Drosophila melanogaster: one gene and its partners. The protein of the gene in region 2 interacts with the protein of the main gene of each other region in a biochemical or structural test. Each region holds a gene or a part of one and is shown on either strand. Other genes may lie near its edges. The genes, in order: gammaTub23C, Grip91 and Grip84.

The links.
Region 1: the proteins of Grip91 (region 2) and gammaTub23C form a complex in vitro, tested with the Drosophila melanogaster proteins (one study listed by BioGRID).
Region 3: the proteins of Grip91 (region 2) and Grip84 form a complex in vitro, tested with the Drosophila melanogaster proteins (one study listed by BioGRID).

What each region holds. Positions count from the first base shown.
Region 1 is NT_033779.5:2,968,439-2,978,568, reverse strand, and holds gammaTub23C (gamma-Tubulin at 23C), read right to left. Parts: upstream 5,679-10,130; 5' UTR 5,511-5,678; coding exon 5,462-5,510; intron 5,404-5,461; coding exon 5,201-5,403; intron 5,141-5,200; coding exon 3,965-5,140; 3' UTR 3,711-3,964; downstream 1-3,710. Other genes in the region: CG9643 (uncharacterized protein), read left to right, coding at 1-23; CG3165 (uncharacterized protein), read right to left, coding at 216-982, 1,039-1,327; CG9641 (uncharacterized protein), read left to right, coding at 1,784-3,391; Rrp1 (recombination repair protein 1), read left to right, coding at 6,272-7,313, 7,375-7,452, 7,515-7,855, 7,918-8,577; Ts (thymidylate synthase), read left to right, coding at 8,999-9,964. UniProt on the Drosophila melanogaster protein: Tubulin is the major constituent of microtubules. The gamma chain is found at microtubule organizing centers (MTOC) such as the spindle poles or the centrosome, suggesting that it is involved in the minus-end nucleation of microtubule assembly.
Region 2 is NC_004354.4:13,738,845-13,749,413, forward strand, and holds the start of Grip91 (Gamma-tubulin ring protein 91), read right to left. Parts: upstream 5,840-10,569; 5' UTR 5,555-5,839; coding exon 5,440-5,554; intron 4,891-5,439; coding exon 3,472-4,890; intron 3,398-3,471; coding exon 3,205-3,397; intron 3,134-3,204; coding exon 2,812-3,133; intron 2,300-2,811; exon of another isoform or gene 2,049-2,299; coding exon of another isoform or gene 1,834-2,048; intron 1,269-1,833; coding exon of another isoform or gene 1,136-1,268; exon of another isoform or gene 900-1,135; intron 334-899; exon of another isoform or gene 227-333; coding exon of another isoform or gene 142-226; intron 67-141; coding exon of another isoform or gene 1-66. Other genes in the region: CG11134 (uncharacterized protein), read left to right, coding at 1-66, 142-226; CG11151 (uncharacterized protein), read left to right, coding at 1,136-1,268, 1,834-2,048; Pdcd4 (programmed cell death 4), read right to left, coding at 7,932-8,004.
Region 3 is NC_004354.4:19,555,112-19,567,360, forward strand, and holds Grip84 (Gamma-tubulin ring protein 84), read right to left. Parts: upstream 10,654-12,249; 5' UTR 10,359-10,653; coding exon 10,303-10,358; exon of another isoform or gene 10,197-10,302; coding exon 9,662-10,196; intron 9,582-9,661; coding exon 9,075-9,581; intron 9,008-9,074; coding exon 7,965-9,007; intron 7,903-7,964; coding exon 7,581-7,902; coding exon of another isoform or gene 7,542-7,580; exon of another isoform or gene 7,399-7,541; coding exon 7,300-7,398; exon of another isoform or gene 6,685-7,299; coding exon 6,466-6,684; 3' UTR 6,229-6,465; downstream 1-6,228. Other genes in the region: car (carnation), read left to right, coding at 11,231-12,249.

The DNA of each region.
Region 1 (10,130 bases), on a different chromosome or scaffold from region 2:
TTTTCAAAAGGAAAAAGGAATAAACATGTTGTATCTCAAAGTGAATAACTTTTTTCTCCGGGAAAGCTGGTTGGACTGGACACTTTTATACAAATATACTTATTATAAAAATATTTATAATAACACATTAAAAATCAATTATTAAAATCCTACATTATAAAAAATATAATAATCCATTACATTTTAAAATGAAGTTCATGCTGGAATAGAATTTGTTAGATTGCGCTCTTTTTTCGACAAACAGGAGAGCCAAGTGGCACCACTTGCTGGAATGGAATGGCCTGCTCCTCGGCGAAGGCCAGGAAATCAATGCCGTAATGCTGTATCAGTTTTGTGGTCATGACTACATCAGCCTCTGCCTGGTGAGCACTAAGTGCTGGTATCTTAAATATTCTCGTGTAGAGACTTTCCAAATTATAAACTCCGCGGGGGGGATAGCGTTTGTTCTCGGCACACTTGCATCCACTGAACAGCTGGCGTCGTGACCTAAACTCATCGGGTTTCCGCTTGGGAGGGGTCTGCTCCTCCAAGTCATCCTCATCGCCGTCGCGTAATAACTTACGCTTGGCGAATGCCTCTGTAGGCTTTAAAATTGGACGATTTGGAGTGGTTTCGTTTCTGGTTCGCCAATCGATGTTCACGACCGCTTCTGGCTCCTTGAGGCAAGTTTCAGTATTCTGTTTGGGTTTCAGCTCCGGAATGATTTCCTGCACATCGTTGGGTACTTTCAACTGACTGGTTTCTTTTTGTTGTGTGTCGTCAATCTCCATGAAGGCGCGCAGTGAGTCAACACAAGTCAGGGATTGGGGAAGCTCTATGTTTAGTTTCTCAAATGCCTGCCTCAGAATGGGAAAATCGAAGCCCCAACCATTGTGAGCCACCAGGCAAACCGGACTCGGCAAGTGCTTTAGAAAACTGACGATGAGTTGCGCGGCATCCGTGTCTAGCTGGGACTCCCGCTCCAGCAAGTAGTTGCTCAGACCTATTGGGTGATAAAATCATTATGTGAATGACTCACGGGTGCATTTTGCAGCTAACCTGTTATTCTCTCCGCTTCCGGGTCCACTACCATGGACGGCTGGAAGAGCACATTCAATTTGTGCAGCACCCGCGGTGCCGCTGGCAGCTCCTGCTGCTCATCCTGGTCCTGCTCCTTCTTTTTCTTCTTAAGGAGCGCGGCTTCAAAGGCGTAAATGCACAACTCCGTAATGCTCACTCGGTTGTTCCTGTAGGCAGGCAAGTTGGTGGTCTCTAGGTCCAGAACGGCAAATGTGGAAATCTTTGGCTGCTCCTCCGCGTGCTCCGCAACTGCATCGTTCGGAGCCATTAAGAGCGCAACTGGTGGCTAAAAGTGCATGTACATAGTATGTACATATATTTCGTTTTATTCAAAATGTTTGAGGACCAACACGGAGTTCTCATTACATTTGCCAACACTACTGTTGCCTTGAAAACATAGAGATGGCACAGTGAACTATCGTGACAAACTTATAAACTCAGTGTGTGCACTAACAGAATTGTTAATTTAAAAAAAAGACGGTTGAAAAATATACCAGATTATTGCCCAATCTAGTCAACTATAATAAATGATTGGCAAGAAAGCGCGCTGGCAATACTAAACTTAAATTTGACACTAGGCTCCCGTGTCACGCAAAGCAGGCCAGGATTTGCTGTCTCTAACTCAGCGGATGAATTACACCTAATTCCTCACTTTTGCAGCAAACGTCGACAAGTGCAGTTAACATTTTGTGTGAGTATTAGAACTAACTAGAATAATTAGAAAATGGAGGCCACCTACCGCCAGGAACGGGAATGGCTCAATGCCCGCGCTCCCATGAATGGCAATAGTTCCGCCAACTATGGCCCTTATCGCGGCTATGACGGCTTTTTCGGCCAATTGGGCCAATCACAGATCCCAAATCAGACCCAAATGGGTCAAACTTTGAACGGCTCTGCCTCCTGGTCGTTCCCCTCCATGTCCTCTGACTACCACCAATCCCCTGCTGCCCCGCAGGCCAACTCTAACTGGAGCCGCGAAAGAGTCAACTGGAACAACGAAATGCGTCGCGACCCCTCGTATCAAGCTGAGCCAGGCAACACCATCAATCGCTCGTGGCCCGGCAACGGCGGCCCTTCCGACGGGAGCCATTGGCCCACTCCGAACTCATCCATGCAGGTGACATCGGGTGAAAGGGGACTGCCGGAACACATTCGCAAGGAGCTATCGCTCCTTGGCCCCGCCAAGCGCAAGTGGTTCTTTCGCTATCTGGACACGGGCATCAGCAATGAAAAGGCCCTTATGAAGGCCTCGGAAAGACGCACCAGTCCGGTACGTTCTGAGTGGTACGACAAGTCAGTTTCGGCTGACCGCGGACGCAGGCGTCCGGAGCAGCCGATTTCGGATGATCGCGTTCGCAAGCGTGCGAATGATGATAACTCGTCGGGCGGTAGAGCCCATGAGGATGTAAAGAAGCAGAGGGTCCCAGAGCCGTCATGGACCTCGAAACAGAATAGTATTACCATGGCAATAATGGCGGAAACTTATCCGGATTGCGAGCTGACTAATCAGCAATTGCATGAGATCGAAGCCGGCCTTGTGGAGGAGTTGAAAAAGGGTTGGAAGTCCAGCATCAATTTTGGGGGCATTCAATTTCTTACTGGAATGATCCAAGTTGTCTGCATGGACAAGAACTCCCGCCAATGGCTGGAGCATGCGATTTCCAAGATCACGGCGTTACCGGAAACTAAACTAATTTGTTGTCCGGAGGATGATATTCCGGCCACAAAGGGAATCACAGTCAGAGTACCACGTTCAGCTGATGAGCCCGATAAGGTCACGTTTCAACTTTTAAAAGACCAGAATAGCGACCTTCTGTCGAAGACTTGGGAATTTGGCCGTATAAGCCAGACCAAGGATGGCAAGGTGGTAGTAATAAGCTGTGGCAGTAAGTCTTACAACCTGGTGCAGAAGAAGGGCTTTTGCCTTAGCTACCGTTTTAACCAGCTCAATTGCCGCGAGATAAGTGGCAAGGAGGCCCTCAAGGCGGTTCGCAGCTCAGAGGCTAGGTCCACCGCCGAGTTATCTGAAATTGACCTAACCGAAGAGGACGGCGAAGAGTTCATTTCTCATCTTGATCTGACCGTTGTGGACGAAGTGAAGGGAGATGATGATGATGAAAATGAGAATGAGATGACTGAAGATCATGATGAGGTGGAAGAGGCAGCTGAAGAGCAACACGATGATGTGGAGTTCATTGAAGAGGAGCCGGGCGAGAAGAGCAATGATGTAGAGGTCACTCCTGAAGCGGAGGGCGAGGAGTGCGAAGAGCCTCATCAGGAGGAAGAGAATTGCAACGCTGAGGTGGTTAATGAAGACACATGCTCCTTGTAAGCAAGCCGATGGGTAACGGGATTCATGGTAACGAAAAACTTCCTTGATTTATAAAATGTGCTTTATATATCTAACTCTTTTCTTCTTCAATACAATAGGAACATTTTAAACTGAATAACACACCCTAAACATATTTGACATACGAAATGACATGACAACGGAACAAGGACAGCAGTATCGTGCAGCTTCACAAGTGAATTCTCACTGCAATATCAGTTCATACTGCCTCAAGTCGACATTAACCATAAGGATTTCATATTATAAAATACACCAAAGAAATATGTAATATACTTCTCAATAAACACTCACTACCACATTTAAAAACTGTTTTTTATTTAATGTGTCACATATTAAACATGATCGGGAAATCTCATGTGTAATTTTGCAACAATGGAAATACGAACGTTAAATATCGTAAAAGACGAAACAGCGTTTACATACATGCGAGTCATACCAACAATCGTCTTATCACTACTACTTAAGGATTTCGAATCCCATCGTCATTGGAGAATATTACATTTTAAAATACATTGGTTAAGATGCATGGCACGCATTTCTTCTGGCACAAGCGAACTAGGAACCGGCGCTGGTCACAGATCGACTATCCTCCGACTTGGAGTCAACTGGCCCATTTCCCCGCTTCACTGAAAACTGCATGTAGTCCTCACGCGTGGCTGCCTCATACTCTTGCACCAGGCAGTCAACAGTTTCGCGAGATTCGTCCAGCTCATTGAGGTCGTCCTTGAAGATGTCCTCGCGTCGAAACTGGTCAAGAAAGGCGCCGCGCTTGCGAAGCTTGTCATACTGGTTGAGAGCTCGCTCGAAAAGCGAGCAAATGCTGGTGTGGTTGGCCAGCATCAGTCCGGACACTCGATGGTTGCTCTGCACGTAGGGCGATGAGCGGGAAAGGGCTACCTGGATAGAGGTGGGGCCCCAGGGAATGAACTGGGCCATCTTGCGGTCGCGGATGCGCTGCAGTGACTTGTGCACTTGAGTGGGATCCACCTCGCCCTGGATAATGTTTAGAATGGAGATGTAGCAGTGATGATTTGACTTGTCGGGACCAGTGGACACCATCATGTTCTTGGGCTGCAACAGACGCCGCATTACATCTAGAACAGTAGTCTTTCGCACATTAACCAGCTGCTGGGTATGGATATCCGAATCGCTAGTCAGCGGCGTGTAGCCTGTCATGAGAAAATGCAGCTGGGGCGTCGGGATTAAAGGAGCCGTCAGCCCAATGAGATTGTTGTTCATGTAGGATGGATACCTCAGCGTAGTGGTGCTGACGCTCATTATGGTGGAGACCAGGTTGTTGATCTGCGAAAAGCTGGGATTCTGAATGTGCAAGCGATCGCAGGCAATACGATTAAGAGCAGTGTTGTCCAGGACAACCACACTGTCCGCAGCCGTAGTCAAACGTTTCAGGGTGAGCATGGAGTTGTATGGCTGCACCACTACATCACTGATCTCGTCCTGATTGGGAAACACACTGAATGTTTGGATAAGTTTCTTGGGATAGCGGTCCGCCAGGCGCTCCATGATAAAGGAGCCCATTCCCGATCCCGTTCCGCCAGCAATCGAATGGCAAAGTATAAAGCCCTCCAACGAATCGCTTCCATCTGCCTCACGGTCAATGATGTCGAATACCTCTTCTTGCAGCTTTTCGCCCTGGCTATAGCCTGAGGCCCAGTTGTTGCCCGCACCGCCTCCGTGCTTGGATAGGTACACATTTTCCGGATTGTAGAGCTACGGGAGTTAATAGTAGGTTTGGCGCAAAAAATTAAAAGTTATTTAGAGAGGACTCACCTTGGAGTAGACCGAGCCCATTATGGTATTGATCACCCTCGGTTCCAAGTCCAAGAGCACCGCGCGGGGTATGTAGTGGTCGTCGTCCGCCTGGTAGAAGAACACATCCTTGCGGTCCAAGCCATCATTGGCAAAGTCCTCCAGCACGCCGCTAGGGGAGATGCCATGCTCCAGGCACAATCTTTTCCAGAACTCAAAGCCAACTGCGTTTAAACGATTTTAGCAATGCAGATGGTACTCGTCCTGATTTCAGAAACCTACTTTGATTGCCGCACTGCCCAAGCTGCAAAGTAATTATTTCACTTGGCATTGTGGTGTGTTGTTTCCGGCCAGAATCGTCAAGTGAAGTTTCGCGTTTAAGGTCGAATTAGTCGAAATAAAATAAAACACAACTAAAAGATCGTCGAATTATAACAAAATTTTTAAAAAATCCCACAGCGGGGACGTACTTTGTAATTTTAAGAAAGTCCAGTGTTGATAACACCGCAGCGTTTAATGGCGTCCTCATTTGAAAGGTGGCGCAGTGTGCCCTCTGTTATAAAATATATATGATTACTTAAGACCTTTATTGTGAATTAAATAAATAAAAATAAACATTACATTTTTCTACTTTGTATTTTGGAAAGGCAAAAAAGTGTTGGAAATCTAAGACTATGAGTTAGAAAGATCGAAACATGTCATGAATATCAATCTAATAGTTCAATACTAAGCTTAACTTGAATATAATTTTCTATAAGAAAGTTTTTCAATTAGGTTATTGAGCTCCACCCATTTTGTACTACTAATGACGTCGAACTATTTGTACTACTAGTGACGTCACAATGTGCAATATTTGCTCCACAGTCGTGTTTTTCCAAGGAAGGCACACAAATAGTGTTGTAAGCAGACCAAAGTCAAGCCGACCGGCTTGCAAAAATCGCGTTGCCCGCGCAGTTTTCTTTTTGTTGATATCGGGTGCTGAACCAAGCGACAGTGGCTCTGCAAAACAAGCAAAAGAAAAAGCTGGAAATCTGTGGAAGTAAATACAAGTCATTTTTGAGAACCTATCAGTCCGAGCAGTAGAACTCCATAATGCCGCGTGTCAAGGCCGTGAAAAAACAAGCAGAGGCGTTGGCATCTGAACCCACTGACCCCACTCCAAATGCCAATGGGAATGGAGTCGACGAAAACGCAGACTCTGCCGCTGAGGAACTCAAGGTGCCGGCAAAAGGAAAGCCGCGCGCGAGGAAAGCCACCAAGACGGCTGTATCTGCGGAAAACTCCGAGGAAGTCGAGCCACAAAAGGCGCCCACTGCAGCCGCGCGTGGCAAGAAGAAGCAGCCGAAGGATACAGACGAAAACGGCCAGATGGAGGTGGTGGCCAAGCCGAAGGGACGCGCCAAGAAGGCAACTGCAGAAGCAGAACCAGAACCCAAAGTCGATCTACCAGCTGGAAAGGCAACTAAGCCACGTGCCAAAAAAGAGCCCACTCCTGCTCCTGACGAAGTGACGTCTTCACCGCCTAAGGGACGCGCTAAGGCTGAGAAACCAACGAATGCCCAGGCCAAAGGACGGAAGCGAAAGGAGCTGCCGGCAGAAGCAAATGGAGGGGCCGAGGAAGCAGCAGAGCCGCCGAAACAACGGGCAAGAAAGGAAGCAGTACCAACGTTAAAGGAGCAAGCTGAACCAGGGACAATAAGCAAAGAGAAGGTGCAGAAAGCTGAGACAGCTGCCAAGCGGGCACGCGGAACCAAGCGTTTGGCAGATTCTGAGATCGCAGCTGCTCTCGATGAGCCGGAAGTGGATGAGGTGCCGCCAAAGGCTGCTAGCAAGCGAGCAAAGAAGGGAAAGATGGTTGAGCCATCGCCCGAGACTGTAGGAGATTTTCAATCAGTACAAGAAGAAGTGGAATCGCCTCCAAAAACTGCAGCTGCACCCAAGAAACGCGCCAAGAAAACAACCAATGGTGAGACTGCGGTAGAACTTGAGCCAAAGACCAAGGCAAAGCCCACTAAACAGCGCGCTAAGAAGGAAGGCAAGGAGCCAGCACCCGGGAAGAAGCAGAAGAAATCCGCCGATAAGGAAAACGGTGTAGTTGAAGAAGAAGCCAAGCCCTCTACTGAAACCAAGCCAGGTGGGAAACTGTCAAATCAATGTAAATGATGAAACCATGATTAACTATCTTTAATCCGCAGCTAAAGGACGGAAAAAGGCTCCAGTCAAGGCAGAGGATGTCGAAGATATTGAGGAGGCAGCAGAGGAAAGTAAACCAGGTGGGCACATTGTCAACAATAACTTTAATATCAATGCCACGCTAATCATATTCTATTTGCAGCTCGAGGCCGAAAAAAGGCGGCTGCGAAGGCTGAAGAACCCGATGTCGATGAGGAGAGTGGATCGAAAAGTATGTTAGCGGAGCAATCCGGCTGCGGTGGAGCTGCCGTATTAAAAAGCTTGCAAACCATGCTCAACTTTTGTTTTCCAGCCACCAAAAAAGCCAAGAAGGCCGAGACCAAAACCACTGTAACATTGGATAAAGACGCTTTTGCCTTGCCAGCAGACAAAGAATTCAACTTGAAAATCTGCAGCTGGAACGTGGCCGGTCTGAGGGCCTGGTTGAAAAAGGATGGTCTGCAGTTGATTGACCTCGAGGAACCAGACATTTTCTGCCTGCAGGTTAGCTATCAAAGCTATCCACACAAAATTGAAAAACACTAATAATTCCATATATTTTAAAGGAAACCAAGTGCGCAAACGATCAGTTGCCAGAGGAGGTGACCCGACTGCCGGGATATCATCCCTATTGGCTGTGCATGCCAGGAGGCTATGCCGGCGTCGCTATTTACAGCAAGATAATGCCCATACACGTGGAATACGGCATTGGCAATGAGGAGTTCGACGATGTCGGGCGCATGATTACGGCTGAGTACGAAAAGTTTTACTTGATCAATGTGTACGTGCCGAATTCAGGCCGAAAGCTGGTTAACTTGGAGCCCCGCATGCGCTGGGAAAAGCTCTTCCAGGCGTACGTGAAGAAACTGGACGCTCTAAAACCGGTGGTCATCTGCGGCGACATGAACGTTTCCCATATGCCCATTGATCTGGAAAACCCGAAGAATAACACCAAGAATGCCGGCTTCACCCAGGAGGAGCGTGACAAAATGACAGAGCTGCTGGGCCTCGGCTTTGTGGACACGTTTAGGCATTTATATCCCGATCGCAAGGGCGCCTACACCTTCTGGACATACATGGCCAATGCGCGAGCACGCAACGTTGGATGGCGTCTGGACTATTGTCTCGTCTCGGAGAGATTCGTGCCCAAGGTGGTGGAGCACGAGATACGCAGCCAATGCCTTGGAAGCGACCACTGCCCGATCACAATATTCTTCAATATATAAGATGTACACTTCGTTTGTGTTTAAATGTACTTCTGGATTCGTCATTATTACTTTGTTTCCTCTCCATATATGGTTTTTATTGTATTTGATTATCCATCGCTGTAGAAATTGTACGTCCCTATCTAATCATTTCAAAATGCCATTACTCTATTACATTCTGTCATAGATCCACCATCAAAATTCGTATTTTTTTAATAAAGTGAGCTACTGCCCCACGTTCGAACTTTGTGCTCAAATTATTGGCCAAAAACGGTTGGATTTAAATTTTTAAAAATCGCTAGAGGTGATATAACCGGTCGACATCGATAAATGTAATCGCTTGCCTATCGGGTCGAACCGAAGCAATAACTAATTCCCGCCAATTTTCGAGCAGAACTCGATTTATTTTGCGGGAAATATATACATACATTATTTTTGCGAAATGGTTTTAACACCAACGAAAGATGGGCCCGACCAGGAGAGCATGCCGTTGCCGGCCGACAATGGGGAGTCACCAAGTAAACAGCAGGCCCCTGTCAATCGGGATGAGATGCACTACTTGGATCTTCTGAGGCACATCATCGCAAATGGAGAGCAGCGGATGGACCGCACGGAGGTGGGCACTCTGTCCGTGTTCGGCAGTCAGATGCGCTTCGACATGCGGAACTCCTTTCCTTTGCTGACCACGAAGCGCGTCTTCTTCCGCGCGGTGGCCGAGGAGCTGCTGTGGTTCGTGGCGGGCAAGACGGACGCCAAGCTGCTGCAGGCGAAGAATGTGCACATCTGGGATGGGAACAGCTCCAGAGAATTTCTGGACAAGATGGGGTTCACGGGGCGAGCCGTTGGGGATCTGGGGCCGGTGTACGGCTTCCAATGGAGGCATTTCGGGGCGCAGTACGGCACCTGCGACGACGACTACAGCGGCAAGGGGATCGACCAGCTGCGCCAGGTGATCGACACCATCAGGAATAACCCCTCAGACCGTCGCATCATCATGTCGGCTTGGAATCCACTGGACATCCCAAAGATGGCCCTGCCGCCGTGCCACTGCTTGGCGCAGTTTTACGTCTCCGAGAAGCGCGGTGAGCTTTCGTGCCAGCTATACCAGAGAAGCGCAGACATGGGCCTGGGCGTACCCTTCAACATCGCCTCCTATGCCCTGCTCACCCACATGATTGCCCATGTGACGGGTCTGAAGCCGGGCGACTTTGTTCACACCATGGGCGACACACACGTCTACCTGAACCACGTAGAGCCGCTGAAGGAGCAACTGGAGCGCACACCGCGACCCTTTCCCAAGCTGATCATTAAACGTCAGGTGCAGGACATCGAGGACTTCCGCTTCGAGGACTTTCAGATAGTCGACTACAATCCACATCCAAAAATCCAAATGGACATGGCCGTGTAGGCGACCTTGAAATCAATAGTTCTGGCTTACTTGAGCAAGCAGAATCTTCAACTGAGTAGGTCGCTCACAAATATCTTACTTTCGTTTCAATTTCCAGAAAATTAAACGAAAATTGTTAACCATATATGTATACAATAAATATTATTATAGTCTTCACGGAAACAGT
Region 2 (10,569 bases):
TGCGATCCTGGTTCGACGACACGGCGTCTACGTTTGGGGACAGAACTGGGAGAAGGCCAAAACCATGTGGGTTGCCTCACTTATTCTCAGACACCGAGCACTTTTATAGACCTAATCGTTTATCTCTCTTTTTACAACCAGGTCGGAATGCTATGACTATCTCTTCTCCATTGCCGTGGAAATGAAGAAGGCCGGAATCGATCCGGAAAAGTTCGAGAGCTCATAAGGAAGTGAAGCTGATACGAACGCACATTCTACTTGTCGTTTAACCCTATAAATTGATGCATTTACTAACTGAAATCCATTGGTCAATGCAAAATAATAGTACTGAATAATGCTTGCGTTTTATGAATCGAATCACGATATATGGCATTTGGGGGGTTAAAAATATTTTCTCAATGGGCTCGTTAGGTGACATATTTTGTCGAAATAATCTGAAGAGTCTTCAAGCCTTATCGCCGTTTTATGGGCATTTCAAACTGGGTGCGCACTTTGCACTAAATCGTGGACAACAGCTGATAACCGCTGTTACGGCTTCATGTTAGGCGTTTCATGTTAATGTTAAAGTCTAAACTCCACACCTGTAACAGTGGGCTAACAAGCGGTGAAAACCAAATGATATCGATACAGTTATTTACTTTTTCATTCTGATATCATCAAATATCAGAATTTCAATTCAGCTTAATGAAAGAAATATCGCATAAACGATATAAATAAAAGCTATATCTGATATGCAAAAGGTTTTCGTGCAGCCACTTTATTTTGAGTTCATGCCCACTGTGCATCAGCTGGCTAACATTTGGAAGAGAGCGAGAGAGAGAGGGAGCGCGACAATAACAGCACAACAAGGCTTATGCGAATGCAACAGGTGCGAGTGAGGGCGACATATCGCGACCGGCAACTTGCTATACGACCATCCCGCTCCCACACAACAGGGGCAGTGTAGTGAAAAAAGCGACAATAAAATCGCCGATTGCACGCCTTCTGCTCATTACTTCGCGTTCCGCTCTCAAAGCGTAAGCACTTTTCTTTTATTTCTACGACGCACAAGCCCACTGAATATTTTCTTTATTCTTCCGGAAAAACAAAACCGCATACACACAGAAATACCCCCACAACAACAACAACAACAACCATGTCTCTGCAGTCGGACGCCGTTTTCCAAAAGATCATCGATGGACTGAAGGAGAACGAGGCCAAGGCCAAGGCGGTCAACGGTGTGTTCCTGTACAAAATCACCAAGGACGGCAAGGTGGCCAAGGAGTGGAGTAAGTATCAGTTATCCATCGCCCAATGGAGCCCATAAAAACACGCACCACACACACACACACTCCCAACGCGCAGCACAGGGGCGTATGTACATAGATGGGCTCAATCCGAAGGGGACTTTCGGACTCTGAGTTGGTGATTTTCCTACCCCCCAGTTGCTAAGCCCCCTTCTGTTGGCGCTCCTGGCCAGTGGAGAATACTAGTACGTCGTCTTTGCGTGTGTGTGTGTTTTGCATTTTGTAATAGTCACAGTTCAAAGTGCACGGCGTTTGTACTTCGGCACCAGCTGTTGGCATTAACAAAAGCCACTGAATTGCCTATTTGCACGATTTAGAGAATATATATTACAGCAACAGAACAACATACTTGCCATATATGCATGTATGTATGCCACTTGTTGCACAAGAAGTCACTTTAAAACGTTGTCATATATACATACATTAAATCGTGCTAAGTTAAATCCGCTAAGTTATCTGCTAGTTTTAAGAATCGAATGTCTACTTTGGTAGCATATTCCAAGTCCAATGAGCAAATGAACAACCTATTAACGAATACCACTTTCAGCTCTGGACTGCAAGAACGCCAAGGCCTACGAGGGACCTGCCCAGGGCATCAAGGTGGACACCACCTTGACGGTCGCCGACGAGGACATGGTTGACATCGCCCTGGGCAAGCTGAACCCCCAGGCTGCCTTCATGAAGGGCAAGCTGAAGATCGCCGGCAACATCATGCTCACCCAGAAGCTGGCGCCGCTCCTGAAGACCGACGCCAAGTTGTAAAAAAGGAGTGATCAACAATAACCCAGCCCAGTTAGCACATTCCTCAACGAGACAGTGTGTGTGTGTTCCCTTTTACACAATTTTTTTTTTTTTTCGTGTGTGTAATTTGTAATCTGTATTCGTGTTTTTGTTTCACCACATAATTAATGTTATTTTTGTACGGAAAAACCCGTCTACAAAACTAGAAAATAATACATAAGGCGAAAACGACAAATTCCTGTGCACTTTGATACTACAAATGGGTTTTATCGGTAAGTGGGTAATCGCTGCGGATTAGATTACAAGAGCGGGCAATCTTATCAAGCTCTTGTAGTCGATTTCTTGGCTAAAACCTTTCGAACTTCGACTTCACTTCGAACCACAAAAATAGATTCCCCCACAACTGCCTGTTGCCAGATTAGCCTATAAATTGTTTGTAATCTTTGAAAACCTCTAAAAATCCGTATAGTAGCTTTCTCAACCAGATAAGCTTGATTTTAGGTTTGGTAAGTTCATAAATCAGGCAGTCAAAGAACTCAAACAAGTCAAGATATTCCCTATATATTTATAATTTCCCTAATTGCCTCCTAGCCAATCAGTCAAAAGTTTGACCCAATTTACCTTGGGAACAAAAGCCAAACTTGTGTATTGAAAGCAGAGTCCGCTTGCTAGCAGTTCGCTGACCACTGGAATCACCATGTGCACTCTGAGTGGCACTTGGCAATCTAAAATATGTGCATGCACTCGAAACAACCGATAAGAAGTCTAATAGCCAGCCACTTACCTTTGCGTTGCCCATCTGCTCCTTCCAGATCTTCATCGAGAGCACAAACTCCATGTGCTTCATGCGCCAGAGTGGCTTGAAGAGCACCTTGTACGTTGGCATGGTCGACTCCAGCATGGCGGCCAGTGGTCCGTGGACAATGTACTGCAGCGAGATGATGTTCCAGCCAATATCACCGTTGAACGGTCGTTGAACAATCACATCGAGATGGTTTAGAATATCAGGATCATCGTACTGGGCATTCGTACAGCGCAGAGCGGAATCCAACATGGAGGTGAGATCGTTAGCATATATATCAAGGCCCGGTCGCTCCAGTTCGTTCCTGAAAAGGCGATTTTCAAGTGTTACATTAGAAATTGAAAAGTTTCAATTACATTCATCAAGAAAACTAACTTCATGTTTTCAATCAGAATGCTAATAAAATCGCCCTGGCCCAACAGCAAGTAGCGCCGCATTCCGTGCAAATGATCCAGCAGCTTGTGTGGGCCCACCATAATGTCGAGGACATGTTTGGAGGTCTGCTGGTAGCACGTTTCCACGGCCGCATGCCAACTGGTGTCCGGTGTGTACGAAAAGATTTGAGAGGCTGTAGATAAGAGCATGGAGCATTTAAATCATTCGATTTCGCTAATCCAATTTGAAGAGCATGCCTTAACTCACCACTAGATTCCATGACCTTCATTAGTTCGTCGCGCTCCTTCATCATACCCTGCTCCTCGCAGATTTCTCTTAGAAAATTAATGGATTTGCCCGTCATGAGTATCTTATTGGCCATATCCATGGGCACAAACTTGGGCAGCATTGGCAATCGTAGGCGGAATTTATCGTGCCATAGCCGATCAACGCCCACATCTTTAATGGACTTCACAAAGAACTCTCTATGCATATCGCTAATGCCGCCCTCCAGAATCCATTTGGAGATCATGCGCACCAGTGGGCCACAAATGGCAGTTAGGAGATCCTCCACCAATTTATTGACCATATCGTTACCGTTGTCAAGGAAATCATAAACGGTCGATGCCAAATCACCGCCCTTCTTTACCTGGCAGGCGTCGGCAATCTTGGTTAACCACTGCATCCGGTGCAGTGGCTTTATATACCAGGCGAGCAGCTTGAATAGCGTCATTTCATCGCCAGCATCGGGCCCACTATCCTTTTTCCCCTTGTTTGCAATTCCATTCACCGAGGCCTGCCGAAAACGCTGCATTTCATCGTGAAGCATTGCCACTTGCCCGTGAAAATTCGCCAGCTCCTCCTTGAGTTTGGAAATCAGGGCCTGGCCCATGCTGCCAATGGCATTGAAACCGGTCGATACATCCGAAAACTTGACCACTCGATCGTGGTAGTAGCCAAGTTCGGAGAGCCGCAGCAACATGCCCGCTTGGCCGGTGGTCAGGAACTTGATGTTCTGCTGATCCAGCTTGAAACGGCCCGTTACCACATCCTTCTTCAAATACTTCCCTTGAACGCCGGTGAAGGAGTAAATGGCACTCATCACTATATCATGTCGAGACTCGGGCAACATCTTTGTTGCATCCAGGTAGTTGGGCAAGGACTGTTTTCTCAATCCGATGCTGGACTGTGTGGCATCATAACTGTGGCTTGCTGCTGCTCCTGTTACCGCTGCTGCTCCTGTTACCGCTGCTGCTCCTGTTACCGCTGCTGCTCCTGTTACCGCTGCTGCTCCTACTCCATTTCCGTTGACCACTCCCATCTCATTCAGACTGGCTATGGAGGAACTTATTGAGTTAAGACGACTGACCAGAATCTGAGTGAGATTATCGCACTGAGTACGTGGATCTTCGCTGGCAACTGCCTTTTCGGCATCCGAATTGTCGGTCATCGTAAGTAGATGGGTCATTAGCGAGTGCCTCATGTGCGGATCGCACTTGGTCAACGTGAGTTTCCTGTACAGCTCATTGAAGTGATCCGACACAGTTTTGCCCTCCTCCTTCTTATTCCGGGCGCTCAGCAGTTTCATTATCTTCTGGACACATTCGCGCTCAGTCAACATATTTGAGTCCCGAATGACCCGACTATTGGCGGCAATCATTTTGCTTAAATGATCCATTGCTTTTTCTGCAAAAGATTGAACAAAGTGCATTAAAACAAGGGCAATGAAGCCTACAATTATGTATAGTGTCTAGTGTATGTGTTGCATTACGTATCCTTAGATTCATTGATTTGGAAATTGTACGTATTGAGGACCTTGAGGATCTAAGAAACTTGCTCATACTTTTATAGTTAAGTATATGTGATCAATAGTCATTTAAAAACAATTCAAAACTATCTACTTTCGGATAAATATCTTTGAATACTTTGAATTGTTTGTGGGATATATACATTAATTTTGAACATTTACGACTATGCAACACACTTTGGCAATGGTTATTGCTACATTTAATCTAGAACTATAAAAATATAAGTATATGTATTGTTAGTTGCATATCTCAAGGACTCTCTGTTTGAAAATGCCATGAAATATGTTGAGTTTCTGGGATTAACTATAATCCTGAAGCACGTGGTCGATTCCCAAGGGTGGAGGCCTTCTTCCCGGAATGCCAGAGCAGTCCGTATGCCTTGCGTGCCTGGACAGCCAGTGAGTGATTGCACATTCCCAAATCTCACCGTGAACTTCGGGCATCTGCTTGCCCTTGATGCAGATGATCATCTCGTTAATGATATTCGATATATCAGTGGAATTGGTTGCCACATCGATGCCGGCGATCCTGTCCTGCGACATCCTGGTGCACTGAATTGTTCATAAATATCCAATCAAGCGCGCGTTAAACAGCCGATTTTGGATGGCTTGGTAATTGCGAAGTGGACAACAACTGTTGGCCAATGGCAAACGCACAGCTGTTCCCTGGCTATAATACGGCGTGCAGTCACTGGCAATTGTTCGGGATGCGTGAAATCTTCGACAGATAGGACAAAAACGCATCCAATTGGCGCGTACTTCATACAAATAATTTATTAAAATTATTTAGTGCAGTGTTACCGAATCTGGGAAACTTGACAAGGCAAAGTCCTAGCCGCTGGCGGGCACACACTGGCCGAAGGTGCAGCGATCTGGCAGCGCTCGTCTGCAATAGGCTATGCCATTTTGATTATCGTTCTACATTTTACTATAAAAATGTATTTCTGTCGGAATGTTACTGAATGTAGCATTTTTGTATAACAGTTATGTTTAGAAGTGCAGCTTTCAGCTTTTATGTTAATTCCATTGCAAACATCTGACAGCTCTGGGGCCGCAAACGTTTCCAACTCTCACTCGCCTGGTCACACTGTCCGTTTTGCATTTGCAATTGCTTGTAAGCAAAAATGGTAAACTTTAAAATTGTTAATATTTAATATAAAGGCTGAAGACATAGATGAGACTGACCAACTGCGTTTCGCCATGGAGCACACCAACGGCTGTAATTGGCTACAAGTCGTGTTTGATACCTACTGCTGGGGGAGTTAAAGCTTAAGGTGCTGCAAGGATGTCTTGGAATTCCAATGGACAAGGACTTTCCTTCGTCGCAATGGGCCATCAGCAGCTGGATGCGGTGGAGCAGTACCTGGAGCAGCCAACCCAACTACCTAGCAATATGTGGGCTAATCCTGAGCCCCAGAAATCAAGCTGGAACCACCGAGTGAACCGGTGACCAAGAAGGATTCTTCGCCACCAGATTTGAACGCGAAATAATATGTGAAATAATATATAATGTATATAATGTGTATTGAAACAGAAACCTCCGGTATTTAATTTAGAACATAGTTAAACTCTCATCCGGTTTACCTTACTCACTTCTATACGTAATTGCATTTAATATCCGGAGATTTCTGTAACGAAAAAAAAGCAAAATAAATGTTGGCCCGATCCTAAATTATTTCCAACTAAATAAACGAATTTGCCCATTGAAAACGCATTAAAATATGTTTTTAATTTTTATTTTTGATGTATATTTTCTGCTTTTAACACATTAGTTTATATATATATATATGTAGATATATATATTAAATATATATAGATGTGTGGGCGCGCATTTTTAAGAATATGTCGAATTTTGTTTCTTCATGAAGTGTGAACATTTTAAAATATAAGTGCGGCGAAAACAAAGTCTTTTTCTTATCATATAAAATGCAGCTTTTATTCAATCAAAAAAAAAAAAAAGCAAGCAGAATAAGATGAATCCGTGGGTAAATATACGTATAAAGTAAAATTAAGCTTAATTATGTTAGTCTTCTGACACACAAAGTTACAAAAAAATTAAGGAAAATCATGTTTTCGATGCGCATAGGAATATTATAAATGTTTTTCTCAATTTCAAGTCAATGGAATTTGTTTTGTGTAATCATCAGAGTTTTGATTGCGTTGATAGCATAAATCATCATCATTGGTTCGTTCCAAATACAAGTTATTCAATCAATTCAATCAACCCAAGAGGTGTGTGTGAGTGTGTGTGTACGAGTGCCTATAACAGTTTCATGTAAATAATATGCTTTGATTTCATGTGGCATAATGACGGTCGTGCTAAGTACGCCCACTCGCATCCTTTATGTGAGATCCTAGCCACAAAAAGCGACCCATCTCTGTTCCTGTTGCTCCTGCTCGTGGTTCCCCGCATACTTTTGGCTGGATTCTTCTTTCTTTTTCTTTTTTTTGTGATCGTTTCACTCATATCTCCTTTTTTAACAAATATTTAAAATATACTTTCGAATTACGCTGGTAGTTACATGTAGGTAAGATATACGTTGTAGGTGTTTATGTAGTATAATAATGAATATAGTTTAAACGGAGATCAAATTCCGATTGATTGTTTGTTTTTTTGTGGTTTTTTTTTTTTGCTTGTTTTTGTTTTTCGTTTGTGTCCTTATCTGGATTCTGAGGATAAGTTCTTTTTATCAAGTTTGCGACAAATTCTTCATATCGTCTTTTGTTTCTTATAAATGGTGTATTTATTCTTTGCGTTCGTATGAATTTTCGTTTTTTTTTTTTGTAATTTGGTGTTTTTTTTTTTGTTTTTGTTTAATGTTTGCTTCTCTCTTGTTGCTCCTCTAGTTGTCATTGGGTGGCTGGGGGCAGTGGTCATATAAGCATGTGCAGCATATAACGTCCCCGTTGTCCCTATGATTTAATCACGCATGGTGAAGGTAGTCGGCTTCACGTGGCCGCCGTCGCCCTCCGAAACGAAACGCTTGCGTCCGCTGCAAATATAAAACGGGGAAAATTGATCAGAAATCGGTAACACAATTCGAGTAGTAGTAAATATAATGGCCCTTGAAGTTCGGTAAACAAATCATCATTTTAGCCTGATACACATTTGCTATTGTTAAACAATGTTTTTTTTCTTATTTTTAAAAGACTTTGCAGTGGTGTAGCTTTTCTTAAACAAAGAAATAAATGCATGTGAAATGCAACTGCATAATACTATCTCGTTCTCTTTCTCTCTCTCGCGCTGCCTTACGCACTAAGCAATTACAATTATGCAATGCATTGCCGCTAAAACAAAACAAAAAAAAAACAAATATAATACAAAGAACAAGAAAACAAAGAGGAGAAAACAAAAAACAAGTTGCGAAATGCTTGGCGCAAATTTGGTAACAACAATAACAAGAACAACAACGAATTTGCACAAAAGTTCATTCAACCGTTGACCCTTTTTCGCTCTCTCTCTCTCTATCTCTCCCGTTGGGAGTCTCTCTCTCCCGTTGAGGTTCTCTCTCTCCACTGCTCTCTTTACTGCAACAGCTGTGCAAAAGTAGCGGGTGAACCAAATGCAGTGGGGTGGTGAGAAGGTGGGGAGAGCGAGGTAAATTAAAACTAGTTTTATATATTTAAAGGGGGACACCACCAAGCTGGCCAATCAAAGGATTCTGGCCTAGAAACAAAACAAACAACAACAATGGCAAAAACCAGCTGGAGCCTTAATTGTTGCTACTATAAATATGTGACCAAGTGGGGTACTAAATGCAGAAATATACATACATATCTATTTATAAACACAAACACACACACAAGTGCACTGGTGTAGAAGAGTCAGTTAAAATTGAGGCAAGATAAGCGCGCGATCAGCAAAGCAAGTAAATACAAGAGTTAAACAAATAACAAAATATATAAAAATAAATCAAAAATAATAAAGCAAAAGCATAAAAGAGCGGAGACCTCAGAAAAAAACCACAGCCAGTTGTAGCGCTGTGCTGGCAGTTTGGCTACTTTATAGATGAAGCATTTGCCATTTTATTACAACTACGATTTCTTTAAGCTAACTAACTAAAAATGATCAAGAACTTGATTCTATACCATACTTTATTAATTTATTTCACATATATTCTTAAAGCGAATATATTGGAGTTATTAGAATATAGCTGGAAAACAGCCAGCACTGGGCCTCATGAACCGTTATGTCTGAGTCTCTTGGCATTGAGTTCAGCTTTAAAAAAAAACCAAAACAGAATGAAAAAAACAACTTTTGCAGTTGTAGTTGCGTTGGCGTCAAATGCAGTTGTTGTTGGGTGTAAAATGAGCGGTGTTTGTGCTGTTGTGCCTTTGCGGCTGCTGCAGTTTGTTGCTATTCTAGTCGCTGTTGCAGTTGTTGTTATTGCATTTGTGGCTGTCGCGCGCTGTGGCAAAGTGCAATAGCCGCTGTCAAGGCGAAATGCAAATGCAAATGCAGTTATAGTAGTGGCAGTAACAACAACGACAGCAGCAACAACAGCAGCACTACTAAAGTGGGAGTGGCAGAGCAGGTCGATAACAGCAACTTGGCAGCCATGTTTACCTTCGCACAAACACTAAAAACAAAACAAAACAAAAAGCAACAACAACACGCCAAGACGATCTTGAGCCACATGCAGGTTGTTGCACCAACAAACAACAACAGAATTCATAATAAAGTCCAAGCAAAACAACAACAATTCAGCAATGCAAAGTTTGCCGTGATAAAAAACCAATCGATAAGAGACGTCCAGCCACATTCACCCCACCAAACCCCTCCCAAACAATCCCTACGTTGCACATGTTCACACGATGGAAGAATATGGATTTTTAATTACCCTTTTGCCAGGCCTATGCATTAAATAAAAGTATTGTTGAAATAACGTAATAATAATAACCCGCATGCTAGCATTATACCAAGTAAATCTGTTAAATAGTAATAATTACGATAATACCAAAGGGATTCAGGATCCCGAAAATCCAACGCAACTTTAGAACGTCGTATTAGAAATTACCAATTGAAAACAGAAGTCCTCTTATGTTTGCATCTGCATCTGTGCATACCCGTATACTTATGTATATACATACATACATATGTATGCATAACCAGTCACACAGTTACGATTTCCCATCAACTCATAGCAAAAACACAACCATAAACCATAAAGAAACAGAAAGTGGGAAAATAATAAAGCTGATCGCAGAAAAAGTGGAGGCAAGCAAGAACTCGGAATAAAGAATAAATATACATAACTAGCCGGCACCTGATAAACCGGCACAACAGCATAAACAATAAGAAAATACGCAACACAAATATACAAAAAAAAAAAAAAACGAAAAAGAACCAAAAGCAATCGGCGACTGCCTCAACGGATGACGCGAAGTATGTACATACACAAATGTTAAGTTAATTCCAAAATGCGAAACTAAACTGCGCAATAGAAAATTCATAAACAAACATACAAATACATATACACCCAAACAAAACACGTCTGCATGTATGTAATAGCCGTCGCCTATGTATGTATAAGAAAATCAGCCAAAAGCACAAAAAA
Region 3 (12,249 bases), 5.8 Mb from region 2:
AGTATAAAGTATACAGGAAAGCGATCTTTGTCCGTCCGTATAGCTTTGTCCGCATGTTTGTCCGTTTCTATTCTGCCTATTTTTAAAGTTTTTTATATTTATATTATATTAATTAGAAACCTTATTCTTGATTTAACCCTTAAATAATATTTCATTACTCAGCGACCAATGCAAATTGTGGTTAAAGAGAATGGGAAAATGAACATAGCTTCTTTTAAAAGCAATCATGTTAAATTAAAACTTTTACCATTCACTATTTTCCATATTTTCCACTAAAAACAAAGTAACACTTAATTGTAGGAAATAACTATTATTACTATTTGTACACTTATTGTCTGTAAGTAGTGCAAAGTTTCACATTCTAAGCTAGGATTAATGTAGACAGCCAAGTTGGCGTAGTTTTCCGGATGCATGAGTGCATAACCAGAAACAAAAAATCCGAGAATTCAAAGGGCATTTGCAATTGGAGAAGTCAAATCCTCAAATAGGCACTCCGCACTTCGTCCTAATCCAAGTGCGCATATGCTCGATTTGGCGATGAGGCGCCGACGCATTCGTACGATAGGAGGGATGGAGATGCACAGGAGATGCGCGATGTGACCAGGACCAGGACCTTGCCGGATGAAGTCATCCTCTCAAGTGACTGCGATAGCCAACACCTCGGGGTGTCGCTCTAAAGCGCACATTTGTCGCACCGAAGGGGAAGGAGCTGCGACTTGGGAGCAACCAGGATAAGCGAGGACGGCCTGATGGACAACTGCGTGAATCAGGGCCAGCGGATGAAATCTCCAGTGCCTCGCCTGCTCACTCTGTGGTGGTGGTTGCTTCACTCCACTCACTGCTTCACTTTGTCCGATTCCACCCGCCGCCAATGCCATTGCCATTGCCATTGCCATTGCCTATCGAATCCATTCCCATTTGAATCCCTCCTCCCTGAGATTTTCGCCTTCGTTCCCATTGCCGATTCCGATTCCGCCTGCACTTGCCCTAATGTGTCGATGTCAATGTGCTGGTAATTCGAGTAGGCAAGGACTCGTCCTGGGATGTGCCTCTCGGAGCGTCGGATGGCAAGCAATTGTGAAATTGTAACAACCATTCTAGCCAGGCGAGTCGATTCGAACGGCAGGAACAACAAAGAGTCACTGCGATAACAGCCAAATGAAGATCAAATGAATTGTGGAATTATGCCACAAAAATTCGAAATCAATTTGCACATGTGTTCCACTCCCTGCCCACCCTCCTGTCAGCTCCTCCTGCCCACTTCCACGGGCAAAAGCCAGTTGCATGTCCATTCCCCTTTTCTTTGTCGGCGGAACTCCTGCGAGTGGCAAATTAAGTCAGTTTGGTTGGGTTAATTGTATACTTTGCACTTGAAGAAACGATGTTTTTTTTAGCTGTATTTAAATTTAAAATTCCATTTTTGCAGCATACTTTTGAACAGTTTTTGGAACATAAACAGTAGTTATGGTTACAAATCTACTAAGCAAGTTTTCAATTTAATTTGTACTAATTATCAAGTGTGAATTTGCTTGAATACATTCCAAAACGGTGTGATTTGAAATAGTTTTCACACATTCTACACTTAATCTACCTATAGATTTGGATATCTCTTAAAATTATAGCTCAATTATTAGCTGTGACTTTAGAAATTCCCGTATAAAGTTATAACGTACTTAAGTACACATATTAATGCTCACCATTTCGCAATCGCTGCAAAGAGGGAATCCAACTGGCGACTCCATCCGATGAGTGCTGCCACTTGCTGGCGAAATGCTTGTTGTGCTGGCATTGTTTGGACACCGAGAAGGAGCTAGGCTCGCCCCGGAAACCGGGCAGCCGTTTTTCGGAGCTGCGAGGCAGGTGTGGTGTGTCGACCTGGTCCTTTGGGCGTTCGCCTCCTTGCTGTGGGTGTGGTTGCGTGCGTAGACGTCAGCGCAATGCCTTTGTTTGGCGGCATGCGGATGACATTCACGTCCGTATCCGCACACACATCCGCATCCATATATCCGCAACCCCCGACCATCGCCAGCGGCCTTGCCCCCGGCCATTGGCCCTCCAGGACGAACAGGACGAGCAGGACATCACCCAATTTGCTGCGACACGTGCCTCCACTTGGCCAACAGCAAACAAACAGCAACAGGAGCAGTCAAGGAGTCAAAAGAAGTCAAAAACCGTGTCACGTGTGCGGCTGTGTTCGCTAATTTCGTCACCTCCTCTTTTTTCCTGAAGCTTCCTAATTTCGCACGGAATTTTCGGCACTAACCACCTCATGCACTTGGTCCAACCAGAAATCCGCCCCACCAAGCTCACACAAAAAGTATAAAAAAAAAAGAGTGCCACGCCCACAACATGCGAATAAAGTTCGCCAATTTTCATTGGGATTGTTCGGGATTGTGGAAAGTGTCTGTCTGATTTTCCGGGTTCACGTGTATATGGGTCATGCTTTGAGTGGCAAAATCTATTAAACTTATTCAATGCAATCATTTCATTTGTTTTCGATCCCCCCCCCCCCCCCTTCCCTTTAAAAAGCACTCGACCAAGTTAACCGGATAAGTCAGATTATTTGAAGATACCGTGGGGATCCAAGAAGGTACATACTTCATTTTGAGTGGTAAACATACAAATACTTTCATTGGGCTTTTTTTCTTAAGAAAATGGAATCGAATTAAAGATGGCCTTCAAATTTTATAATTTAGTGGTTTCATTAAATGGAAATCTACTCTTTGAAATGGGTGTTGCTTCTATATTTAAGCCAAAACTAGTTAATATTCAAAGAAATACATCTAATCGAACTAGGAAACTATTTAGTATCAACTGAGACTTGAGCTGATTGAAAGCTATCGCATTTTAGAGTCCAAAATTAGAGCATATTGTATATTGTATTGCCTAATTAACGGATACCTTGATTTTGGTAGGGGGAGGGGGAGGGGCGTTGGTCTTTTGGGGGGCGGGATTCCTTCTAAGTGGGTCGCTTGTAGTGCGGCCCATTGTCCAAGGACACGTGTCATGTGGAAGCTGGAGATGGAGCTGGTGGATTGCTAGAGTGGCGGATGGAAGAAGGACGAACGGATGAACGGATGGGCGATGTGTCGAGCCAGGCACATCCGTCCTGCTGAATGGCCTTGTAATTGAATAAGCTCAAGCCTCGTCCTGCCCATTATATTATACATTCTATATGTATTATACGAATGATATTTTTGAATGATTTCAGAATATCTAGAATCTTGGTATTCGTGCAAAAAGTTTCCAGGACATTGAGCTGTGTGACAACAAACTTGTCGGCACTGGAGTACTAAATATATTGCACATGTTCATGCATGTTCAACATATTTAGCACTCAAGTACCGAAAAATGAACAACGAAACGAAAAATAACACGAACATCATGCTGCCCATTATATTATACACTTATTATTATTGTTTTTTTAGAATATCTAGAATAGGAGAAGTCTTGGTATTATGGCAAAAAGTTTCCAGGACATTGACAACCTATATATGTATGTACTTGTCGGCACTGGAGTACTAAATATATTGCACATGTTCATGCATGTTCAACATATTTAGCACTCAAGTACCGAAAAATGAACAACTAAAAGCGGAGAATACGAAAGTGCGGACCACCAAGTTATCCAATTGGCAATATTGAATTTTTGATTTTAAACACTTCCTACATCCTGTATGTGTTTTGCATCCGGTACAGATGTGGGAGTCGTTTGCACTCAGAGATTTCACAGAATTCGAGGATCGACGGATGCACTGGAATGTCTGCAACGGCGGTGGTGGGCATCGCCATGCAGTGCCGCGGCATTGGTGAGGCCATCTCCAATGGATTAGTTCTCAACATTGGATTAGTTATCATCAATGCCGGTGCACTGCACCTAACAACATCGCGCCGGGGAATCCCAACACAACGAATCAACAAACAAGGTATGCTTTAGATAACTCGAATATCACATCTTCAGTGTTCGAAATCTGATGAGATATTCACGTTGTCTAAATCATGTTTTGTACGAAACTACAACTAAGATTTCATATAGCAACAAAAAACTGCAATACATACAACTATAAACTTAAAGTGCGCGAGTGCCTTCCCTATCAGATACCCTATACTCAGATCAGATATTCATTTAAATTTTCATTTGATTTCAGCATAACTTTGCCTTGGATATTCAATTAGATTATTATCTAAAACCGCAAACTTTATTTAAAACTTATTGCTAACACTTTTCTTAACTTAAAATACTTTTTTTCTAACACAATATAAGATCGGAAGAGTAATAATGCAATTAAAAAATTGCTGCGTTTGTAAAACCAGCAAGCAAACGAAACGTCTATCCACGTAGTGACGAAGCGCACCGGGAGAGTGTTCGTCGAATGCGACGACTATCACTAAAAGGAGTTAAAGATAATGAGATAGTTTATTCACATGGTCGAATGGAAAAAGTTGACTTCGATGATTTTTGGGGAAAATGCAATGCGAGTGGAGGCTTTGTTTTTAAAGCGACATGTTTCGTCACCGTTATTATTGTTATTAGCGAATTTGTTATTGGGGGCTTTTCTGCGCACATTAATGAGCTGCTTGTGCGCCTTTCATTTGCATATGTCTGTAAATGCCGAATCGATGGATAGATGGGCTTTTGATTAATTAACATACATACATATATAGGCGCGCACAATCGCACACAGTCGATGGGCATACATATATATGGCTATGTGGCACTGGCCATCTGGCCATCTGGCTATCTGGCTATCTGGCTATCTGGCTATCCGGCTGGCCAAATGTCCAGCAGTCCAGTAGTCCGATTGCCGAGACCATTCGCAGGAAAAGGATAGACGAGGATGGAGCCCGGAGAGCGACATGGCCAAAAACCATAATTGATTGTCGATAATTCATGCGAGCTTAAATTGCCAATTGCTTGTGGAGTTGTGGGCGTAGGGTGGTCTATCCGGGTGCTGGGAGTTTGGGAGCCTGGATGGTGGGTGATGGGTGGTGGAGTGACGGAGATGTTATAGAGATGACCGTTGGACATTGATGACGGCTAATGGCGAACATACAAACGAACCCACATCCACTGGCGACTGCATATTTATATACTCCAATATTTGCAGATGATACATATAGCAGGGTATGTATGTATGTATATACATCTATATGCATATATATGTATGTACAAAAGTGGTTGATGGGGGGGGGGGGGGGGTGGTCACTTGCACCCACATACAAATGCCTAGAAATTGGCTTTTGTGGGTGTGTATCGGCTCGTACATATGTATGTACATATATATACATATATGTATATTTATGCCATGTGTGCTCCTGGACAGTCGGTGGCTCCAAAGCGGAGAAACCATCGGACAACGATGAAAAACCAGGAAAATTCCACTCGCCATATTGCGACTAAGGGAAATGGGCGCTGAGAAAAATGCGATTAAAGCGAATGCAGCACAACTTGTTATTTATGCCAGATTATATATAGCATATACTTTATACTTAAAAGCAGTCAATAATATTTTAGAGCTCAGATTTCGAGTTCATGCTTAATCGCAGTGCGAACTTGAAACTAAATCAGGGCATACTAAATTCGCAATATACATACATATGTATATTAAACCATTGAATACACATATATACATGCACATAATATTTATAGATGTTCTTGCACTCTTTATCATACTTAACAATAGTTCTTCGTTCTCATACTGATCTTTAGTAAAATAATGCTCTCTTCGCAGGGAACAATATATTTGTTGCCTACTTTACAGCGTAGCTACCACATTGATGCCCATCACGAGTTTACTAACATCAAATTTGGTTAAAATTCTGGATGGTTTCTTGCTTGCATTTGCTTCCACTCCAAAAATCCAAGTGGCTAGCTTAAATTAAGAACTGGCCAAATACCAACGACATAAGCTTCGTATATGAAAGGCTTCAGGATGGGGGAAAACCGCAAACCCCGTAGCAGGAGCAAACGATGATGAACATCCTGGAAACCAAGATCTCAGCTATCATTCTGATTCGATGTATAAACCAGTGGTGAGAGCTACCTAGGATATTTGTGCATTTCTAAACAGAGTGGCCAAGCTTATCGCGGATGACCTGGTTGACGACGAAGTACAATATCTTGGTTGGCGGCACAATCTGCAATCTACGCCACTGGCTTACGTTGCAATCGAAAATCGTGTCCAGTGCCGTAAATTGCAGTTGTGTGAACGCAAACGGCAGCAGCGAAGGACATTTTAATTGGTTTATTGGTTCATACATATTCGAATTTGTATAACTAAACGGGTAACAATTGGTGCGCTTTGTTGGATGGCAAATGAGAAGACATGCGTGGGGAATGATGGTAAATGTGCGCTTGTGATTATGAAATTCATTTATCTAATACTTTGTTCTTGTCTTTTCCGTTTCCGTTTCCACGTCCACATCCACATCCACATCCACATCCTTTCCTCTAGACGTGCTGGCTTAGCCAATGGCATCCTCTACACACATCTTGTCCATTTGATCGGTGTAGAAGGCATTGAAGTTGATGCGGTGCACCAGATTCATGAAGCAATCGGCGGTGTTCTTCTTCGCCATGCTGTTGATCTGCTTGAGGAACGATATCAGCAGTTGGGTAAATTCCAGATCAAAGCGCCTAACCCGCTCCGAAAACGTATCTGTCGGATCCAACGGGGTCTCAATCTAGCAGGGGACAAAGAAATCACAAGTTAATCACTGGAACATACATGTGAGGATGTCACAAATACACTGAATTTGGGGGGAATTCTTATGTATATACAAATTCTTCCCGAACTCAGGCTAATTTTGTGGCATCCGTATACACAAAAGTATAAGTATATAAAATATAAAAATAAGTATATAAAATATATAGATTAACCGCTTAAGTTGGTCTTACACAAATTGTTTTAACTGAATTTCAAAACATTTTTTCCAAACAATACTACGTTTTGTAAGTAGATTCATTAAGAAGGAATAATAATCAGGGAAAACTTAATAATAATCTACTTATTGTAGATTATTTCTGCATTAGTAATTTAATGATACCAGAAGATGCATTTAAGGTTTTAAAAACAAAAGAAAGCAAATGGCCTAATGCATAGGCAAGCCAATCAAAAATAACTTAAAGCATGCAATCCAAATTCGAAATAAAAGAAACAATGCTATCAAAATCGGGGCCACGCCATTATGCAATCCAGCTGGACACAAAACGGAAATGGGTCCACCGATAACGAAAGTGGGAGCGAGAACACAGGAACCGCAAGGAACAACGTGGTTGAGCACAAGCCTACGCAATACCTGTGGGCAGTGCAGGCTCTCCTGTTCGGATTCGGAGCTGTCCGCGCTATCACGTACCATCGACCTGAGCTCAGCGTCCTGAAAGTAACGCTGCGTGATCTGCGAAGGTGGGGATTAGCAAGGATTCCACATAGAGTTGGAAGCGTTGGCAAGCGGGATAGACATAGAGCATTAAGAGCACGGAGCACGGAGCACGAAGCACAGAGCAAAGGAAGAAGGGTTGTACGCAAAAATTTAGCAATTTAGCCACCCGGTACCCTCGCACTGTAACTGGAACTCACCTGGATGAACTCGCAGTACTTCAGGCAGATCTTGCAGAGCTTGAAGATCGAACGATTCAGATGCGACGACTCGGTCAGCATGCAGTTCTTAAGGCACGAGTCGAGGAAGTCCTGGTGGAGACGCAGAACGTTATCCACGTTCTCCACCGTCTTCATCTTTTCAATGAAAATGTGCCAGTTGGGCTCGATGATCTCGATCATCATGTAGTACTCCAGGTTCTGGATGGCATTCATCATACGCTGGCGCAGAGTGAACGCCGCTCGATAGAGACTAGCCGCCTGCGGCTCGAACTGCCTGGCAATCGAGTTTTCCTTCCAAATCCTGTTTGCGAGAGAAGAACTTAAATGATCGTGGGCATAAAAGGTTAAGGATCGGGAACCCACTTGCACAGTTGGCGCTCCACGTGCTTGCAGTAGAAGAGCTGTCGAAAGAGCATTTGGTACTTGGAGATGGAAATGTGATTCAGCACCAAAGAGCAGGGCCACTTCACCTCGTAGGTGAAAGCGAAGCACTCGAGGCCGCTAAGATCGAGGCGAGGCTGTGCCTGCCAGTTCTCCTCCTTCTTCATGATCTTGGACATTTGCGTGACCAGGTCGTAGGGCAGCAGCTCGCAGTGCAGATCGTCTTTGTAGGGATCATTACGCGCCGAGGAAATGCGAAGCGTTAGTCCCAGCAGGTTCTCTAGCGTCATGGGCAACACGTGGTCCACGTTCTTCGTCAGCTCGTCCTCGCAGGCGTCCATGAACTGCATGGTGAAGTCGCCTTGGTTGAGCAGCAAGTAACGCTTCACCGACTGTAGGTGACCCATCAGGTCGTTCTCCGTTAGCAGCACATCCAGCAGCATGCGGGCGGCAAAGTAGTAAGCGTCGTTGATGACGGACACGTGCCGCTCGCTGGTCGGGTCGAACTCTAGGTTCATCTCTTGCGTGGGCATTACGCGCTTGCCACACTGTCTGATCACATTGAGATACTTGCCGGTGCGCAGGATCTTATCCGAATACTTTGCCAGAAACGATGGTATTTGTTCGTCGCGCAAGGTATACCGTCTCTCCCAATAATCGTCGGAATAGTGCTCGGGCAGCTCGTCGCGATGGATCACTTCGTTGTCCACTACGAGAAATTCCCGGTGGCGGTCCACGATCACGCCCTTCTGGATCCACATCTGCAGCATTCGCATGTACGGCTTGGCCGCCTTGCGCACCAGTCCGATAATCAGCTGTTGTGCATCTTTGTTGCCTTCCAGCCGCTTGATCCGCTCGTGTAAATACGTCAACACTTCGGCATCCCGTGAATCGCTTAGCTGAATGATCACCAACGAGGACCAGACCTCATGCATCACCCACATCGTCGGCTGCAGGTAGTACAGTAGTTTCTGCAATGTTAATCTATTGTGGCGCAGCTCCTGTTCGGCTTGTACGATTATCAGCTAGGCTCGGTGGAAAAAAAGATTAGTTAGGGAAAAATTTTGCCACGACACGATTGCACATCCTTACATAGAAGTCGTGTGTAAGTTCCTGCAGTGCCTCATTCAATGAGTTCATCACCTGACCCAGGCCGTCGGTAGCCGCGATTATCTTCTGCACGCCCATGAAGTAGGAGGCCAATGGCAAGATTTCCCGCACCTGGTGTGTCAGCGAGCGATCGAGGTGCGTGTGTATGTCAAAGTCCGTGTCGTATTTGGCCAGGCCAACGGCAGAAATAATTGGCTTCTGAGGCACCAGGAGGCTTTCTCTTATGCCCGTGAGGCAGTGCAGCAGCTCGTCGAGCAGCATACTCTCCTGGCTGAGAAGCGGCATTGCCGCGATCTCTGCCCTCGGCACCTTGTCCCCGTCCACCTTGTAGTATTCCCACAGTAAATGGGTGCGGTACTCATCGGGCACATCAGTTAGCGTCACCAGGTCATTCGGCATTGACTTTGGGCTGTTGCCCGTTTTGTTGGTCACCGAGCGGTAGCCGCTCAAGGATTGATCGGAAACGGCATTAAGCACACGTTCCTTGATCTGTGTGGGTTGATCATTGATTATTTGAAGGGGCCAAGTAATTGGCAGCGAACAGCACACCATACTTAGTCTGCACTCACCACACTTAAGTCGTTGCGCTCATCCTTGCCCGCTCCACGGTTACGGTCCATTGGGCCGCGCCTGACAAAGACTACGGGTGTAGTGTCGGATTCAGTGGCCTTTTTGCAATTCACCGGCGTCGAGGTGGGAAAGTCCTGGGACTGGGTCAAGCTAAGCCTGGTGGAACCAGATACGTTTTGCGATGTGGTTAAGATTGTCGAGGTGCTTGCGATTGCCAATGTGGTGGGGACTGAACCGGCTGCGGAATTAACATCCGAAGTCTTGTTTCCGTGCGGCAAGCCCATCGCTGAAAGGCTAGTGGAACTGCTGCTCTCGGAGACTGGTTTGCATTCGCTGTATCGCTCGACGAACACCAGCAGTGCGTACATGGGATCCTTATTCTGCAGAATGTGCGAGATCTCCTTGGTCACCTCTGCGAAGTTGGGACGCTTCTCGCTGATGGACACCAGGACTTTGATCAGATCGCAGGCTGGCAGCCGCCGATCACTAGTGGCCCGAAACTCCCGAATGATGCTCTCCGGAGTTAGGGGCGATCTGTGGGATAAAAAATGACAGTAAACTATGGTGCCAATGGCGGGAAAGAGGCGGTGCAGGAGCAACGGCTAGATCGACTGGCCACCTGTGCACTCAATCCACTTACTGCGACTCGCTGATCAAATTGGCGAGCACACCGCGCAGCGCATGGGGTTTACTCATCACGGAGATGGCAATTTATAGTTCCGCGCTTCTCAATTTACAGTTATAACCGGCAATTGAGCTCTTTTTGAGTGCGCCGCTCTTCTCAATATTTTGTTGTTCTTTTCCGGGTTGCTTGAGTGCCGACTGCAGCGACAGGGTTGTCATCTGTCCTTGTAATGTTCTAGTTTTTTTTTCAATCCTTAGCCGTTTTAAAATCGCAGATGCTCATTTTATTTTACGCGCTTGCAGCAATTTCGGAATCAATTTAAACTGAAATGAGCAGCACAAGCAACTTGATGCAAATTGGCATTTGTTGGTATTTAATTGTGAGGATGTGGTGACACTGGTTGCTGGCGAAAAAGAGGGGTGCGTTTAGCATAGTTTACACTGGACTGGCCACTACTGTAACTTATTTGCGTTAAAGCGTGCAAAGCATTGAAAAAATACAAATTTTGTTAAATGAAAAAAGCTGTACATAAAAAATAAATAAGAAATACTTTCTACCCACAGATTAAATAATTGAAACTACTCCTCTATTATTTTATTCTATCTTAACTTTATATTCTTGTTTAATCAACAAAATTTATATCTGGCAACTGTTTTGATTTTAAATTGCAGGCAAGTGATAGTGTGAATGGCCCATAGAGCAGCGGACAGTGTGACCGTGCCATAAGGGTAAGTGTAAGACCGCACTGCTGAGCGCAGGCGCAGTCCAAATCAGCTGCTTTGCAGCGATTACAGTCGCGTCCCTGATCTTCTGCAGCCGAAATCCGTGGGCGTTGCACCAACACCACCAACGCACTGCACAAACCGCCCACCAAGGACACGGTAGCGACCGACCGGAAGCCGCAGAGCATACGAATCAACACTTCTGGCAAGAGGAAAGGAGCATGTTCCCCCACTTGAAGGGCCATGGTCAGCGGGTCAACCTGCAGTTGCTGCAGGAGGCCGCCTGCCGCGAGCTGCTGCAGCAGCTGGACCGCATTGAGGGTTCCAAGGTTATTGTGCTGGACGAGACCATGATCGGACCGCTGGACTTGGTTACCCGGCCAAAGTTATTCGCTGATCGAGGCATCCGTCTGCTGGCCCTCAAGCCGGAGCTTCATTTGCCGCGCGAGGTGGCCAATGTGGTGTACGTGATGCGCCCACGCGTGGCGCTGATGGAGCAGCTGGCCGCCCACGTGAAGGCAGGCGGAAGAGCGGCCGCTGGACGGCAGTACCACATCCTGTTCGCCCCGAGGCGGTCATGTCTGTGCGTCAGCCAACTGGAGGTCAGCGGCGTGTTGGGCAGCTTCGGAAACATCGAGGAACTGGCCTGGAACTATCTGCCGCTGGATGTCGACCTGGTATCGATGGAGATGCCCAATGCCTTCCGCGATGTGAGTGTGGACGGTGACACTAGCTCGCTGTATCAGGCGGCAGTGGGCCTAGTGCAGCTGCAGCGTCTATACGGTCGCATTCCGAAGATCTACGGAAAAGGAGAGTTTGCGCACAGGGTATGGGAGCACGCCAAGCAGCTGGGCCGGGATGAGCGGACTCTGTACAACGGCGACAAGGGTGTCGTCGATCAGTTGATCCTTCTGGACAGAAGCATCGATCTGCTCAGCCCGCTGGCCACACAACTCACCTACGAGGGGCTTATCGATGAGTTCTACGGCATCCGGCAGAACAAACTGACGCTGCCCGCCGAGAACTTTCCCTCTGACGGAGCCCTTCCCGGAGGCGGAGGCAGTGGCCCACGAGTCGAGGAATCGCAGTCGCTGCTGGGTGACACCGAGAAAAAGACCATCCTACTGCACTCCGGCGAGCAGTTGTACGCGGAGCTGCGGAACAAGCACTTCAACGAGGTCACCAAGCTGCTCGCTCGCAAGGCACGGGAAATTCACGTCCAGATGCACGCCACCTCCCA